Linked DNA regions of Caenorhabditis elegans. The protein of the gene in region 2 purifies or fractionates together with the protein of the main gene of each other region. This does not show direct contact. Each region holds a gene or a part of one and is shown on either strand. Other genes may lie near its edges. The genes, in order: rpn-5, pbs-2, rpn-13 and rpn-7.

The links.
Region 1: the proteins of pbs-2 (region 2) and rpn-5 fractionate together in Caenorhabditis elegans (co-fractionation; one large-scale study listed by BioGRID). This does not show direct contact.
Region 3: the proteins of pbs-2 (region 2) and rpn-13 fractionate together in Caenorhabditis elegans (co-fractionation; one large-scale study listed by BioGRID). This does not show direct contact.
Region 4: the proteins of pbs-2 (region 2) and rpn-7 fractionate together in Caenorhabditis elegans (co-fractionation; one large-scale study listed by BioGRID). This does not show direct contact.

The regions. Positions count from the first base shown.
Region 1 is NC_003280.10:4,695,804-4,700,215, reverse strand, and holds rpn-5 (PCI domain-containing protein), read left to right. Parts: upstream 1-1,921; 5' UTR 1,922-1,923; coding exon 1,924-2,013; intron 2,014-2,070; coding exon 2,071-2,256; intron 2,257-2,307; coding exon 2,308-3,015; intron 3,016-3,062; coding exon 3,063-3,239; intron 3,240-3,306; coding exon 3,307-3,618; 3' UTR 3,619-3,795; downstream 3,796-4,412. Other genes in the region: scc-1 (Sister chromatid cohesion protein 1), read right to left, coding at 1-999, 1,048-1,197, 1,244-1,495; F10G7.5 (MFS domain-containing protein), read right to left, coding at 3,935-4,144.
Region 2 is NC_003279.8:12,966,663-12,970,313, forward strand, and holds pbs-2 (Proteasome subunit beta), read right to left. Parts: upstream 1,619-3,651; 5' UTR 1,618-1,618; coding exon 1,039-1,617; intron 981-1,038; coding exon 726-980; 3' UTR 554-725; downstream 1-553. Other genes in the region: eif-6 (Eukaryotic translation initiation factor 6), read left to right, coding at 2,298-2,570, 2,620-2,727, 3,001-3,360.
Region 3 is NC_003281.10:6,339,524-6,343,927, reverse strand, and holds rpn-13 (Proteasomal ubiquitin receptor ADRM1 homolog), read left to right. Parts: upstream 1-1,999; 5' UTR 2,000-2,004; coding exon 2,005-2,883; intron 2,884-2,929; coding exon 2,930-3,095; intron 3,096-3,140; coding exon 3,141-3,236; intron 3,237-3,467; coding exon 3,468-3,547; 3' UTR 3,548-3,815; downstream 3,816-4,404. Other genes in the region: C56G2.9 (DUF4604 domain-containing protein), read left to right, coding at 641-679, 757-847, 896-927, 980-1,172, 1,222-1,397; Very-long-chain 3-oxooacyl-coA reductase let-767, read left to right, coding at 3,973-4,018, 4,096-4,251. UniProt on the Caenorhabditis elegans protein: May function as a proteasomal ubiquitin receptor. May promote the deubiquitinating activity associated with the 26S proteasome.
Region 4 is NC_003282.8:9,314,673-9,319,147, forward strand, and holds rpn-7 (26S proteasome non-ATPase regulatory subunit 6), read left to right. Parts: upstream 1-1,966; 5' UTR 1,967-1,970; coding exon 1,971-2,033; intron 2,034-2,078; coding exon 2,079-2,921; intron 2,922-2,971; coding exon 2,972-3,298; 3' UTR 3,299-3,558; coding exon of another isoform or gene 3,559-3,687; 3' UTR 3,688-3,732; coding exon of another isoform or gene 3,733-3,858; 3' UTR 3,859-3,904; downstream 3,905-4,475. Other genes in the region: F49C12.9 (UBA domain-containing protein), read right to left, coding at 298-537, 645-1,082, 1,130-1,230, 1,297-1,435; nemt-1 (Methyltransferase type 11 domain-containing protein), read right to left, coding at 3,559-3,687, 3,733-3,858, 3,905-4,023, 4,067-4,185, 4,231-4,360, 4,410-4,475. UniProt on the Caenorhabditis elegans protein: Acts as a regulatory subunit of the 26S proteasome which is involved in the ATP-dependent degradation of ubiquitinated proteins.

The DNA.
Region 1 (4,412 bases), on a different chromosome or scaffold from region 2:
TTGTCTGTCATCATCATCATCCATGCGCACATCATTAAAGAATTCATCAACGGCTGGTCCCTGCGCTTGAATATCTTCTTGAATGTCCTCATTGAGGTTCAAGTCCTCCCATGGCTCAGCTTGAGCTTCCATTGACGGAGTGAAACTCGAACTATCGCTCAACTCTTGCATGGTGTAATTGAGATCGAACTCTCGGGTGACCAAACATCTCCTGTATCTTTGAAGGAGTTCTCTGTTGAACATTTTGCATCCAGGTTCACGGCTGAGGTGTTGAAGATCTCCGCTGACGCATAAATTGAACATCTTTCTGGTAGGAGGCGCCATTTCAACTACTCGCATCGTATCGGAGAAGTCTTCTTGTTGCTCTCGGAAAGCGTCGTTTGAAATCATAGTTTCAGCATCGACAATCAGCTTTCTCGCTTTTCTCTGACGTTTTTTCCGTCCTTCCATGTGCTCCACATCTAGAGGCTCCAGGGCAAATGACTCGGGACTTTGTGGTCTCGATGGCTCAACGTTTTCAGGCTCGAACGGTTGATAGTCAAAGTCCATACCATCGTCGTTTTGAACATCTGCGACAGCATGCTCTCTGACGGGATGAATCATTGAGCTGAACATATCAGCAGGCCCAACACCACCATCGTTTTCCAGTGTTTGATTCTCAACCTTCAGGTTCATTTCAGGCATGAAATTTCCGCCTTCCTGATTGTCAAAAATAAGATTTGGACGTGTTGGTCCTTCGGAGAAAATCACACTATCCGCATCTATACGGGAAATTTCCGTTCCATTTGCAGCCACATCACGATCTCGTTCGACTTCCATCAACGATTCTGGCTGAGGAGTGGGGCGCAAAGACAAAGGTTCCACCGATCCGTAGAGATGATCGAGTTGCCAAGATTCTCCTTCGTCACCGAACCCATCGAAATCTGCGTCAATGTTGAACTCGACATTGAAATTGACGGTTTCTTTCATGGTGATGTCTTCACGACGGCTCACATTAGCCTGAAACAGCGATTAAATTGAATGTGAATTGCTTTTAATACAACGCACCATAATGAGCTGCTCATTGTAGTCGGCATCGTGGAACTCGGGCACTGTGATATTGTACTTATCAATGAAGTTTGAGAAATCCTCTTCAATTTCTGCATTCTCTGGAATGTCGACTTCAAAACTGAATCCGTTGCGGAAGTTAATCTTCATCTGAAAATTTACTTTGTTTTTGTCGTTCTAAATTATCTTTAATTACCTTTTGATACGCTTCATTTGTATCAGCCAGAAGATATCGTGTCTTCTTCGAGTAGATTCTCACGATTCCAAGGAGAAGATGTCCAACTGTTCGGAGCGCCATTTTAACCTTGGGGCGAATGACTTCCTCGATCGCTTGGGGAACATCTGTTTCGAAGATTTGCGCCTTTGTCAGCTTTTTTTCCCAGTGAGCTGCCAGCCACACTTTTGCCAACGGTCCCTTTTTGGCGAGAACGAACTGTGCATAGAACATCTGAAAATAGCATGAGATAAACAATAGATTGTTAACGTCAAAGAGATCATAGATTAGAAAATTCCTGAGAAAACATGATAAAAGAGCAAAAACTGGAAGAATAAGTATGTTCAAATGATCACAATGAGAGAAGCAATAGTTTTAAAATGAGGCAAACATTGAAAATGCGGTAAATTTCTGATGATGAAGACAAAACGCTCGAAAAATCGTTTTCAAATATTTTTGTCTTCCTCCTCCTGGGTCTTACCGCGATTTGAGGTACGGTAACACTCGTTTCAGCTGTGCGGATTGTCACTCAAGAAATAATTATTTTCTACTCTCTACCTTTAAAATTTTTGTGCATTTAAAAGTAATATTTTTATAGGTTTTGAAGTTATTTTTCAATTAAAAAAGCAGAACTATATATTCTAATTATTGTTATTCCAGATATGGCCGACAGACGCGAACCGATCCCGGTTGACCCGGTCGATGTCGGAGAACTAAGCGAACTTGACAATTTGGCTCATTTGGCCGCTCATGTAAGTTTTAAAACGTTTTCGAGAATTTATCTGTAGATTTCATTAAATGATTTTCAGGGTGGAGATGGTCGTTTGTTCAAAATGGAGCAGGACTACTCGAAACAAGTCGACGAAGCACTTCTGAAAGCCCGAGATATCGCTCAAAAGGACGCTGTTGCTGCTGTAGAGAGTCTGAACAACATCGAAAAGCTCACTCGTCTTGGAGCTGACATGAAGAGCAATACACGCGTTGTTCAATATATGGTGATAATACTTTTCAAATTAAAAAAAAAATATTAATTCTGATATTTGCAGACGAAGCTTTGTTTCGAAGGGCAGAAATGGGATCTTCTTATGGAAACAATCATGACGCTTTCAAAGAAAAGACTTCTCATCAAAATGGCTATCGCAAAGATGGTCCGTGATGCTGTCGCAATGATTGACAAAATGCCAACCGAGGACCTCAAGATGAAGCTTATTGAAACTCTTCGCACTGTTACAGCTGGAAAGATCTATGTGGAAGTGGAACGTGCTCGCCTCACCTCGATGGTTGTGAAGAAGTTGGAGAGAGAGGGAAAGCTTGACGAAGCTGCAACCATGCTTCTTGAACTTCAAGTGGAAACATATGGCTCCATGGAAATGCGAGAGAAGGTGCAATACCTTCTCGAGCAAATGAGATATTCTCTCGTTCGTAATGATTTTGTGCGAGCCACTATTATCTCTAAGAAAATCAATATCAAGTTCTTCAACAAGTCAGACGAAGATGAAGTACAGAACCTGAAGCTGAAATACTACGATTCGATGATCCGTATCGGACTTCACGATGGAAACTATCTGGACGTGTGCCGTCATCATCGTGAAATTTATGAGACGAAAAAGATTAAAGCTGATTCAGCCAAGGCGACCTCACATCTTCGTTCTGCCATTGTCTACTGTCTTTTGGCTCCGCACACAAACGAGCAATGGGATCTCCTCAACCGAATTGCCATTCAAAGAGAATTGGAAACCGTTCCAGACTACAAGGTAAGCTGTGCGATTTGAATTTAATCTAATTATTGTTTTCTTTTCAGATCATTCTGGATCTTTTCATCAACCAAGAACTCATTTCTTTCAAAGGAACCATTGTCGCAAAGTACGAGAAGCTTTTAAGACGTGGAACAACTAGCTCACCAGACACCGGAATTTTCGACAAATCAACTGAAGGAGAGAAGCGGTGGTCTGATTTGCACCTTCGTGTTGGAGAGCACGTAAGTTAAAATTTTAATAAGTTAAAAACCTGTTAAAATTTATAAATTTTTATTTGTATTTTTACAGAACATGCGTATGATTGCCAAGTACTATACTCAAATCACTTTCGAACGTCTCGCTGAGCTCCTCGACTTCCCAGTTGATGAAATGGAATCATTTGTGTGTAACCTCATTGTTACCGGTCAGATCACCGGAGCAAAACTTCATCGCCCTTCCCGTATTGTCAATCTTCGTTTGAAAAAGGCAAATGTTGAGCAATTGGATGTATGGGCGAGCAACGTGCACAAACTGACGGATACATTGAACAAAGTTTCCCATCTCATTCTGAAAGAGCAAATGGTTCACAAGAACTTGGATCTCGCGGCCCCACGGGCATAAATTTAACCACTTTTTTGTGTATAATTCCGCCATCATGTGTATTTTTCTTATTGATGTTCGCCCTCCCCAATTTCTTCTTTTTCGTGCACCTTCTCCGGTTTTATCATTAATTTATTAATACTGTCGATCGATTTCATCCTTTCACTCTTCGGTTTGATAGTAAACGTATACGTGCTCAATGTGTATTACTAGCTTTTGAAGAAACAATTTTATGGAACAAGTTGTAAGATAGAGGTAACGGGAAACAAATGGATCATCACAGGTTTGAGTTGATTTTCTAGGAAATTGATAAGAAGCTATAACATGAGTGCACCAATTACTGATAAACTTGATATCCATTCTCATCCTCTTCCAAATGTTCTCGTTCAGCAGAAACCAACAACTGAGCTAAATCGGTTTTGTGGACGATAAAAGTGAGGAAAAGTGAGGTCAACATGAAGCATCCACAAACAATGAAAAGATATTCAAATCCGATTTCAGAAAGAGCATGTGTTGAAATGAGTCCAGCGATTAGTCCGGCGACACTCTGAAATGTATTCATGTATTCGCGAATACGGTACCCGGTCTCGAAACGAGAAATTTGTGTTAAAAACAAATAGGTAAGCGCCTTTAAAGTGTACTGTAGTTTCAAACTTTCGCTACTGCGACATTTTCATCGTTTTTCTCACATTTTTTTAAATGTATGTGTTTAAAATGTTTTATTTCATTTATAAAAATTCCGCATCGACGCAAGTTTGAAAGTACAGTACTCTTTAAAGGCGCACATCCCTTTGCATTTAACAAAATTTTGTCGT
Region 2 (3,651 bases):
GAAATCGCAAAATGATTTGAAAATGTTGAATTTCAACTTGAAGAAGCTTCACGTCTTCAAAATTCGATTTTACGTGAAAACAAACATTTTTGAAAGGGCCGGAACACGGCCGAATGAGGGTAAACTATGGAAAACTGATAAAATAATGATAAAATTTGGAATTTTTCGGAAAAACGACACTGATTACGACGGGGAAGGCAGGGAAATGAGTCAGAACAAGATACAAAAAAATGTTTCGCGCCAATGATTGGTGGGTGGAGCGTGTTTGCTATATGACCTGCACATCTAACTCTCTGCGCGGCAATTCAAATCGGATTATTTTTTTCTTGTGAGTTTTGACTCTTCTCTCTTGACTTTTGAGAAGAATTCAGGTGGAAATTAGTTTTTCGCAGAAAGTTTTCAATTCAGATCTGGAAAATCTATTCATTTCGCAGTTTTTTCCTTTTAAAACCCGGAGAGTAACTTTTACTATTGGGAAAAACACTTGAAAGCGTTTTTCAAGTCATTTTTCCGGCTTTCAGTCCAAATTAAGACAACAAACAATACCAGTTTTAAGGAAAATAGACAGTTTATATTCGGAATTTATAAAACAAATGTGATAAGAACTGCCGGCGGATACGAAAATACCGAAAAAAGTAATCACCGACGACACCGAAACGGATGGAAAATCGAAAAAAAATAAATAATTGGGGGAAAGAATACACACATCGACAGAAGACCGCAATTTAGTGAGTGATATCCATGGACTCGACGACGTCGTACTTGTAGGTCTTGTGTTTCAGCACCTTGGTGGCTCCGGCCTGGAATTTGTAGACGAGGTCGTTGGGCTCTGGTCGCTTGCAGAATTCTGGCACAATTGGCCCCTTGAAGACGGTCTCGCTTGGCTCGATGATCACAAGATTCAAACTGTTTCCTGAGGCGTTGTCACCGTGCATACCGGCTTCCAGGGCGCGTTGGACAAGCTTCTCGGCTTCATCTTTCTGAAAAATATAATTATAGTATTTTTAGCGCATTGGAATTCAAAAATAGACTACTTACCGTCATATCAACCTTAAAATCACGCTCCAAAATAGTGATAGCTGCATATGATCCAGATCCTTGAGCTGTGAATGGGAAGGCCATTGTAGTTCCGTTGGCGGAGCACATATAAAGATGTGGGCCAGTTGGATCGACTCCTCCAATGAGCAAGTAGGCTCCGATGTATCCTTGATAGTTGAAAAGATGCTGCTTAGCTTGACGAAGAGCGGTGATCACACGAGCCTTGCGCCCGGTGTTTAATTCCAGAAGACGGAGATTTCCAGAGAGCATCTTTGTGACTTGATCGAGATCGGCGGCGGTTCCGGCTCCGCAGGCATAGATCGACTCAGTGAGCTTGTGAACCTTCTCGCAATGCTTATCGGCGATGATATTTCCGGCGGTGGCACGGGAATCAGCTCCCATCACAAGTCCGCCCTTGAAGGCAACGGCGACGATGGTGGTTCCGGTACTGGTGAGCTTTGGAGCCTTTCCGCCCATCTTGCACATTGCCTGATTACGAATGCAGTTGGAGAAGTCGAACGCGCCTCCACGGTCCATGTCCATGTGTGGGACGGTGGATTTGACGTCAGCGGTGGCCATTCTGGAATTAATGTTGTATTTGAAAAGATCTCACAAAACATTTTGAGAAAAAAAAACAATAAAAATGACAGGAAAAATACGGAAAACCATCTAGAAAAAACTGATTAACGAAAAACTTCGATTTCCCTGATTTCTGCTGTCTCACAAGTGATTTTCTGCAGATAACCTATTCAATAGCGAACTTCCACTTAATTTCTACAAATTTTTAATCAAAAATACGCTAGAAAAGCAGGAAAAATGGTGGAAAACTTCGAAAAATGTTGGAATGCTGACAAAAAGATTTTTCAAAGTCATCGCAACGACACTCCGAAATAACGCAAATTTGTAGAGTTCCGTGGAGCGTGTTTGCACCAAAAAATTTCCGTTAATTTTATTTTATTTTTCAATTGAAAATCTCTGCCTAAAACTTTTAATCTTAAGTTTTTCATTGACTTTTTGAGTTTTAAAATTCAAAAATTGAATTTTTCGTTCATTTTTAAGTAATTTCATATAAAACTGCCTATAGAAAATGAAAATTCCCTGTTATTCAATATTGCACAACATTTCGAAGCTCCGCCCATTTGTAGTTTGTATTTGTCTTGCTAACACCCATTCTTTCTCGTTTTTCCAATCAATTTTTACTATTTTCTCGATATTAAATCAATTAATTTTCAAAAAAAATTCCAGTTTCCCGGTTGAAAATGGCTCTCCGCGTCGATTACGAAGGATCGAACGATGTCGGTGTGTTCTGCACCCTCACCAACAGCTACTGCCTCGTCGGCGTCGGTGGCACTCAGAACTTTTACAGTATTTTGGAGGCCGAGCTCAGCGATCTCATCCCAGTCGTGCACACGTCGATCGCCTCGACCAGAATTGTCGGAAGACTTACAGTCGGAAATCGTCACGGACTTCTCGTACCAAACGCCACGACTGATCAGGAGCTTCAACACTTGAGAAACTCGCTTCCAGATGAGGTATGCGGGCAGGAAATTGAGAATAAATATTTAAAATTTGAATTTTCAGGTCGCAATTCGCAGAGTTGACGAGCGTCTTTCCGCTTTGGGAAATGTTATCGCTTGTAACGACCACGTCGCTATTGTTCACGCAGAAATTAGCGCAGAAACTGAGCAGGTAAGGAGAAATCCTACAGAACTGCGACTTTCAGTGTGATATTCCCACTTTTTTAATCGAAAGTTAGTAAAGAATCGTCGAAAAATGTTCGATTGTTCTGAAAATGATATTTATTTTTTGTTCAAAAGTTCGAAAAAGACCCAAACTTTAGTCGGAAACGGACAATTTTCATAACTTTCTTATTAATTTTTGATTCAAATGCTTGGCTTAACATACTGAAATTAACAATGTTCACACTACAAACTACAAAAATTCCTAAATTTTCTCTTTCAGGCGCTCGTCGAAGTGCTCAAAGTGGAAGTATTCCGTGTCAGTCTCGCCCAAAACTCGCTCGTCGGCAGCTACTGCATTCTCAGCTCTAACGGTTGCCTCGTGGCCGCCCGTACTCCACCAGAGACCCAACGAGAAATCGCCGCTCTCCTTCAAATCCCAGTCGTCGCCGGAACATGCAACCGAGGATCCGAGCTCATCGGAGCCGGTATGGTCGTCAACGATTGGGTCGCATTTTGTGGACTCGACTCCACTTCTACCGAACTGTCCGTCGTCGAATCGATCTTCAAGCTCGGCGAGCAAGGAGCTCCGACAAGCATCAGCAATCAGCTCAGAGATACTCTGATTGAGAGCATGCTCTAATCTTTTTTCTCACTATTTTTTTGATCTACCATTCATTGTTTTCCCACCTTTTTTGTTGTTGGTTTCCCCGTTTTTTGTTGTCAATGAAAAAACCCCTGAAAAATTCGAATTTTTCTCTCTTAATTCCTTCTTTGATGTCAAATCCTCACAAATTTATACCTTGAATTTCACTTTTAAAAGTACTTTTTACACGCTATAAATTTAATTTTCGCTTGATTTCAGAAGAACACACATCAACTAAACCTACTAGGTGAGTTGGACTCCACTACAAACTACACACAAAACCCTGTA
Region 3 (4,404 bases), on a different chromosome or scaffold from region 2:
AATTTTTTCGGGTTATCCCATTCTGCTTTAAAATTTTCTTAATTCAAGTTTGAGAACGGGCTTATTCTTGTGGGTCTTCCCACGATCAATCCAGGAAGAGAATGACAAGAGTCTTCAAAGCCACATTCCATGACCCTAGAAGGACTTAAAAATATAAATATTGAAAAGAACCCAATAGTAATTTTAAACGAGACAGGCTTCTTTCGTATATTTGCATCCTCGTAAAGTCTTTTTTGTTGGACAATTTCTTATTTAAAAAAATCACCAAAATTTTCTGAATGTTTTTCAGACTGAGTAGGACATTATTTTTTAAACTTCTATCATAAATCTCGTGTAGTTTCATGAAAAACTCCCACCCATTTTCCCACTGTCATGAGTCAACGGGAAAGCAAAATTCGAGTACAAATTAGTGTTCTCCATTTAATTTGTGGCGTTCAACACATAACTCGTTCGCCCCTTCATTTTTTCTTCTATTCTTGGTAGTCGCGTATCACTTCTTATTCTGATCAAATAAATTTTTTACAAAAAAATTAGAGCTGAGCATTCAGATTTAATTATTTTTCTCAATATCGTGAGAAAAGGTTTATTCAATTTTGCTTCAGCCACTTGCTACAAACTACACCATCTAACGGCTAACACCATGTTCAGCGAGCATAAGAAGAAGCAGGAAGAAGCAAAGGTTTGTTCTTATCTGTATTCAAAAACGAACCGTTACCCGACAAGGTTACGAATTTCAATCAGAAAAAAATGTTCCAGAGAACCGAGAAGAATGGAGAATTGATCTTCGATGACCTGGATGCAAAAACTCGTGATCTGAAACTATCGGATCAGGCAAAAAACGACAAAAGTGAGTTAAACCGAAGGAAAAGTGTTCATAAAATCATCAATCTATCAGAGTACATGTCGGAGATGGAGACCAAGAACCCGGTAAGTCAATTTTTAATTTGTTGAAAAAATAGTTGATTATCTGAAATTTTAGAAAAGAAAATCTATCAAGAAAAGCGACCAAAAACCGTCAACGATGTCGCTGAATGTAGGAAAGGGTGGTGTGGAGAAAGAGAAGGAAACGATTTCCTCGCAGCGGAGCAATAGTTTGGAATCTCCAGGACTAGGAAGTCCCCAAAATGTTGGTCTCGGGATCTTTGAGGCAGCAACTATGATGCGCAACATCGGTAGATCTTTAAAAAAAAGTCACGTAGACATCTAAAATTACTTTTTAAGTTGACATCACAACCGACTCGACCACTATGAAGACGGGTAAAACGAAAACATTGAAATCAAAGGAAAGCAAGACCTCACTTGGTTCGGCAAGTGGGCCATTCTCTCAGATGAAGGAGGCTCAGGAGATGAAGAAAAAGAGCAAAAACAGCTTTGAACTGGATGATATTGACAACTAAACTAATATGTTTTAATACTCATCGTGTATACCCAGTGAATTTGTTTTAAAAATACTAATACTAATCGGTAATTGGCATTCTCAAATTTTGCAGAGACCGATTTTGTCAAAATAATGTATTGAATAAAGTGGTTTGATTTTTAAGATATTGGGTAAAAAAATAATGAGGCAAATTCGTCTTAAAACGAGCGGAGGACAAGTTAAATACAGAAAAATAGAACACAAAACGTGACAAAATATCGCATGTACGGTGTGCATTCGGAAACAGCGTTTTGTACGCAAGCACTGAACACCACGAGCAAATGCACCACGAGAAAAGTCATCCTTTTTTAGCCAAATTTGGAACAATATTGTTAACAATTGTTTCTTCAATTCGAGTTATCTTTTAAATATTAAAAAAGACATTATATTTTTACTAGTTATTTGAATTTAATTTTTTTTGACGGGAAATAATTTGTTTCTGTCCGACATGTTACTTTCCAAATCAATTATCAATACTTCAGTTTATTTGTGATATTCATTCCTCGTAATTTTGCAAGTTTGTTCTCTATTTTTTCATCTTGGTATTTTCAGCTTCCTTATCAAACATTCATTTATTTATTTCAGAGATGGCTGCTATGTTCAGTAATACTCGCTCGGTCGCTTCCTCTTCTGGCCATATTGTCGAATTCAAAGCTGGACGCTCTCGCCTTGAAGCTGGATCCGGAGATACTATGAGAAAAGTTGTTGCTGAACCCAAAAAGGGATTGGTATTCATTAAGCAAAGTAACGACATGCTCATCCACTTTTGCTGGAAGGATCGTGAAACTGGCGCAGTTGTTGATGACCTCATAATCTTCCCCGATGACGCTGAATTCAAAGCTGTTCCTGGATGCCCTGATGGCAAAGTGTATATGCTCAAGTTCAAATCTGGAGATATGAAGCTTTTTTGGATTCAAGATTCAACACCAGACGTTGACAAGGATCTTGTGAAGAAGGTCACTGACGCTCTGAACAAGCCGCCGACATCTCGTCCAGCTGCTTCCCGATCGGCTGGTTCTAACGCAAACACTGATCGTCAGTCTGCTGGAGGATCACTTATCTCTAGCTCAGACATGAATGCTCCCCTTGGAGGCATCGATCAAGGGCAATTGATGTCATTGATTCAATCTCTGCAAGGCGGAAACTCTGACACTCTTCCAATTTCTTCCGTGCCTCGAGGAGAGGACGCATCGTCAGAAGCAGACTGCGAGCCTTCGACGAATGCAGCTGAGGAAGGATCTTCAAATCCACTTTCCTTGAATAACCCGGCGATTCAACAAATCTTCAACAACTTGGGACGCTCACAAAAGAAAGAGGTGGCAGTCTCTCTGGCAACTGCTCTGTCGAATGAAACGGTTGCTGAAGTTGCTCGTAACCACGCTGAAGAGCTCGCACCGCATCTTCCAACTTCTGATGATCCAGCCCGGGAGCTTTCTGAGACAGTCAGAACTCCGCAATTCAGACAAGTTGGTTTTTAAAGCATATTATATTTTAACTGTTCTCTATTTTCAGGCTGCTGATACACTTGGACATGCACTTCAAACTGGTCAACTCGGGCCAGTAGTTGCACAGTTCGGAATGGATGAAGCCACAGTTGGCTCCGCGAATCAAGGTGATATTCGTGGTTTTGCTGCTAATCTCACAAAGGCTGAGGGAGGAGAAGATGCTGCCAAGACTCGTAAGTTTACTTGAAATTCTGAAACATAGTCTCACGTTCGTTCAGCACGGGTTGATAACCCGATCTGCCGGAGAGCTGTGATGCCGTCCGCTTATCTCGGCTTCTTTTCCCCCTCAATTGCGGCAACGGTGTCTCGGCTAGGTACGGCGCACTCTCAGTTGTTGAGTTTTTACTCATTTTTGAATATGTCACTAATTGTGATTGTCCTTTTGTTTCCTTTCGCACTATGACCATTGCGCCATTCCTTGTAAAATTTTGCTGCTCTTAACACTTAACACCTATCCATTTGCTATTTCAAAAACAATTTTTACAGTACCGTAAACCTCTGTACTTTTGATAAAAACATCAATAACCATTGTTAATTGTTTGCAGAAAACTCGGACGATGACGCCACTCGCGAACCAGAGCCAAAGCGCAACCGTCCAGACAACGAAGATATGGATGTCGATTAAACTCTCTGAATAAACAAATTCTTCATCACTTTTGTGCATATTCCCCCTTAAACTGTGTTCTCCGTGTTCCTCTTTTTCCGACTCGTCCCTTTAGTATTTCTTCATCATGCCAGAAATGGTGTGATAAGATAGTAGAGCGATGTTTATCGACCACTTCTCTTCGCTCTCTTTCATTTATTCGACCTTCAAGACGTCCCCATTTTTATTCCATTTCGAGAACTTATTTATTCATTGTAAAGTACTGCAAATAAACCCTTTTTACCATCAATTTGAAAGTTTCGGAAAGAACTCGTAATAGTAGCGATTAGTTTTATATTTTTCAAAGTTTATTGGAGTGCATGAGTTTCAAAAAAGTAAAAACGTGACCTCATGAAAATTTTTAGTTTTCATATGTTTTCGTCATAAATAAATAGTTACAAGAAATAATGGAGTCGTCTGACAATTTACATGATATAGATAATCTTGAAAACGGTAAATAAATAGTGTATAATTTATGCACCTTGCATCTTTTCTGCCTGTTATTTCCATTGAAATTCTGTAAATTCCAGGTAACATGGCTTGCCAGTGCTTCTTGGTTGGAGCCGGATACGTGGCTCTTGCAGCTGTGGCTTATCGTCTTTTGACGATTTTCTCGAATATTTTGGGCCCATACGTTCTTCTGTCGCCAATCGATTTGAAGAAAAGAGCTGGAGCTTCTTGGGCTGGTTCGTTTCTATATTTTTACTCTGGTGATGTCTTATCGTATAGCACTCAGAGAACTACTTTTGGTTCTCTGGAACTGTTATCATTTTCAATTGATAATAAAATTGCAATGAAAAAATTGTTGCGTAAATATAAAATAATTGTTTTGAATTTCA
Region 4 (4,475 bases), on a different chromosome or scaffold from region 2:
ATTTTTTTTTGAATCAGAAGCGAAGTGAATATTGCCATTCCCAACCCCAGGGAAATAAGTTGTTATCCGATGTTATAGTGACCCAGAGACACTAAATAAGCAGAGAAGAGTTTGTAGAAGAGTGATTTAGACGAATAAACGGTGATTTCATTTCACTGCTTTATTTTAAACAGATATGAGATTATTTTAGCCCTATTGACGAATGAATAGGGCAATTTGAATGCATTAAAAACGAATTATGAACACTTATAGACAGAAAAAGTTAATGAGAAGACAGAATAAAACCATTGGTGTAGATTAATTTTGGAGATCAATAAGAAACTCCATAGCCGCTTGCACATCTCCATTCGCCTGTTCGAGAGCCAACTGAATGAGCTCATCATTTTCAAATCCAAACTCGCGGAGAGTCGCAGCTTGTTGTTCATATCCTTGCTGCATTGGCTCTTCTTGCTGCTGTTGCGCTGGCTGGACATTGGCGGGAGCTGGAACCCGATTTGCCGGAGGAACTGCAATGTTTGCCAGGGCTGCTTGGAGAGCCTGAAAAAATTGGCATGGAGAATTTAGTAGAAATATGTATTCAACTATTATTATATTTCAATTATTCTTTTCGAATTATGAGAATCAGTGTGTCCAAGAAATCTTACATTTTGAAGCAACGCATGAGTAACCGGTTGAGCACCTCCAATTGGTCGCTGAGCTGCAAGCATTCCTGGTCTATTTCTTTCCACGTTTGCATAATCAAGGTTTTCGTATCCGTAACGAGATCCTACTGTCGATAGAATATTTTCTACTACTTTCAAGAAATCGGGATTCGTGTACATGAATTGTCCCCGAATTGGATCATCTTTGAAATCGTTCTGAACGCAATAGGCACGGAATAATGACCAATCACTCAGAACAGATAAAAATTGATTATCATGAACCAGCTGTGGGTGTTTCTCAAGAAGCGTTGTCATGTGATCTGGAAGTGCAAAGTCGTGGTTGAAACCATGAAGCCGACGATCATTTGGGCGTGTATATGGGGCGGTACACTCCTTGAGAGCAATACTGATTCGATTTTTTTGCTCTTCTTCGATGTGGTTCTGAAAATCTTAAAATTAATTTGGGTTTCAAACGGAAAAAAACTGACATTTGTTTTAAGCGGTGGAAGCAGCACGACTCTGATTGAATCAGCATCAGTAATCTTTTTTAGGCTCTCTTCATTCAATGCTCTTCCGTTATAAATCAAACCTGAAAAGTGATTGATTCGATAATTGAAGAAATAAATATGATCGATAATTGAAGAAATAAACTTACGGAAACGTTCAACGTTTTTTTGGTCTTTGAATTCGGAAGTACTTTCTGATAAATGCTTGAAGAATTGGATCTGTCCAGTAGAAATTATCTCTTCGATCGGGACTTCACGGCAGGTGGTTTTTAAATGCAATTTAACCATGTTTCTCAATACAACGGGATGGCGGTTGAAAACTGAATGCGAAACAAATGCTCCGTTTCCTGCGTTCAAACGCTAATAACGAGAGCGCTCGATAATGAAAGGATGAATAAAACCGTGCGGCGGAATTGCGAAAGCATGCGCCGCGTATTGCAAACCCTTGTCATCATCCCCGCCCACTTTTATTCGTCCCATTTTGAATTTTTCCCCCAGTTTTCTTGAATTTTGATACGGTTTTGTCTGTTTATGCACTATGAAATAGATATTTTAACGTAGTTTTCACTGTGCCGCTCACTGTAATGTAAAATAAGGCACTATTACGAATTTAAAATAGATATCAACGCTTATTTTCAAAAACTAACAAACTAGACACTAAAATTAATACCAAATCTATATTTCGATAATTACAGCAAATTTAATGAAAACTAACTAAAATGCTATTTCACGTTTGAAATACCATTGAACAGTTTTATTTCCGTTTTGGCCGCTTTTTAACGTTTGCTACAATTTCAAGTGTTCATATTTCATTTTAAGGAGGATGACAGAGGCTGCCAAAAAGAGCACGAAGAAACCCGTAGATGATGGAAACTTCGATAAGGAGGTACGGATCAGTAGTTTTGAAATCATTCAAGTTCAGAGTTTTCAGATCATTTCAAGATGGCCTGATCTTGAGTTATCACAAACCAGATTCATGCTCAATCATCCCGAAGTAGACAGCAGCGTGAAAGAAGCCAAGCTCGAGAAGCTTCAGGAAACTATCAAAGAATTCGACATGGCGCCATTCTACGAGCTTGTCTGCGCTGACTTCAAAATTGTCGTAGATGCAACACAATTGGCTGCAATGAAAGCAGCTAATCAGAAAAAGATCGATGAAATCACCGCAGAAGTTGAAGACGCGGAGAAGAACCTTGGCGAATCTGAAGTGCGTCAGGGATTACTCCGCAAGTTCGAGTACTACTGTCAGATCGGTGACAAAGACAACGCTCTGAAAGCGTACACAGCCACCTATGAGAAGACAGTCGGTATGGGATATCGTATTGATGTAGTTTTCGCCATGATTCGTGTTGGACTTTTCTTCCTCGATCATCATCTCATCAACAAGTTTATCACCAAAGCAAAAGAACTTATGGAGCAAGGAGGAGACTGGGAACGCAAAAATCGCCTTCGATCCTACGAAGCGCTTTACCGAATGTCTGTTCGTGATTTTGCTGGAGCCGCTGATTTGTTCCTTGAAGCTGTGCCAACATTCGGATCATACGAGCTCATGACATATGAAAACTTGATTCTCTACACTGTCATCACCACAACCTTTGCTTTGGACAGACCAGACCTTCGTACCAAGGTTATTCGTTGCAATGAAGTTCAAGAACAGCTGACCGGAGGGGGACTCAATGGAACATTGATTCCAGTTCGTGAGTATCTCGAATCATACTATGATTGTCACTACGATCGTTTCTTCATTCAGTTGGCCGCTCTTGAAAGCGAGAGAGTAAGTTACTAAAACAAATCTTGTATTTTTCACTTATCGTTATATTTCAGTTCAAGTTTGATCGCTATCTATCGCCACACTTCAACTATTACTCTCGTGGAATGCGCCATCGCGCTTACGAACAATTTTTGACTCCTTACAAGACTGTACGTATCGATATGATGGCCAAGGATTTTGGTGTTTCCCGTGCTTTCATCGACCGCGAATTGCACCGTCTGATTGCGACTGGGCAATTGCAATGTCGTATTGATGCTGTTAACGGAGTGATTGAAGTGAATCATCGTGACTCGAAGAATCATCTGTACAAGGCAGTTATCAAGGATGGAGATATATTGCTCAACCGCATTCAGAAGCTTGCCAGAGTTATCAATGCATAACCGAGCCCAGTTCTTCAAACGTGTAAATCCTTTTATTTTACCCTATTCTTCTTCTCCCGTATTATTTCTTTGCGTTAACTCGCTTTGAATCTCCCCACTTCTTCATCATTTCCGGTTGAATGAATTAATTTATTACCATCGCTGTATTTTTAAAACTGTATTCACACTTTCTTGGTCAAATACCAATTGTTTTATTATCTTTAAAATGTTTTTACATGTTATTTAATACCACTTCTTCACTTCTTCACTTCTTCATTTCTTTATTTCTTTATCCACATCGCTGCGATGTAGATCCGCTGTTTATTTTTCAATCGTTCATAAGTTGATGTTCCAGGAGCACAGTACGTTGCTCGCAGCGAGTTTTTGAAGAATTTAACGAAGAAAGGAGCCTAAAATATTTATATACAAATTTTTTAACTTTTGGCCTAGTTTACTTTCTCTAGTAGCCTATCATATTTTCTCGCTGAATATTTTAAGCCCTCAACTACTTCATCAGTGCAAAACTCGAAATGTTTCTTTACAAAACCGGCTGCTGTGGCTGTCTCCTGAATCTGTTTTGCCTGTAATCACTAGCTGTATTTATATAAATTTTACAAGTAGACTAACCTCATGGGGATATCGAATGTCCATGTAGCAGAAGGCACCACCCGATCGCAAAACTCGTGAGCCCTCTTTGAAAAATAGTTTGTAGTCCGAGTAAAGATGAGCTGCTTCCACATTCAAAACTTAATTTCAAGATGTTTTTGGTATTTTTTGATATGATCCTACCAAAATCAAACGAATTATCTGCAAACGGTAAATCTAGTGCATCTCCGTAGACTATGTTATTCATATTTCTAGTGACAACTTTATCACAGCCAATGATGCATTTTGTTGGTCCATGCCACCTGTGTTCCATATTTCTCGTTTTAAAAAAAATGCAAGACACTTACTTTTCTATCCAATCGAGAGAGTACCCTTGACCACAGCTCACTTCAAGAATTTCAAATTGTTCAAAATAAGGATAATTTGGATGCATTGATAATGCTTTTTCATAGAGATAAATATGAGCTCGATCCGACTCTGAACATTTAAATTAACAAGGAAACCTCGATTAGTGTTTTCATTTTACCGTATTCATCTAGGTCACCTAGATCTTCCATGAACATTCTCATTTTTGCGTACTGAGGTGCTGATG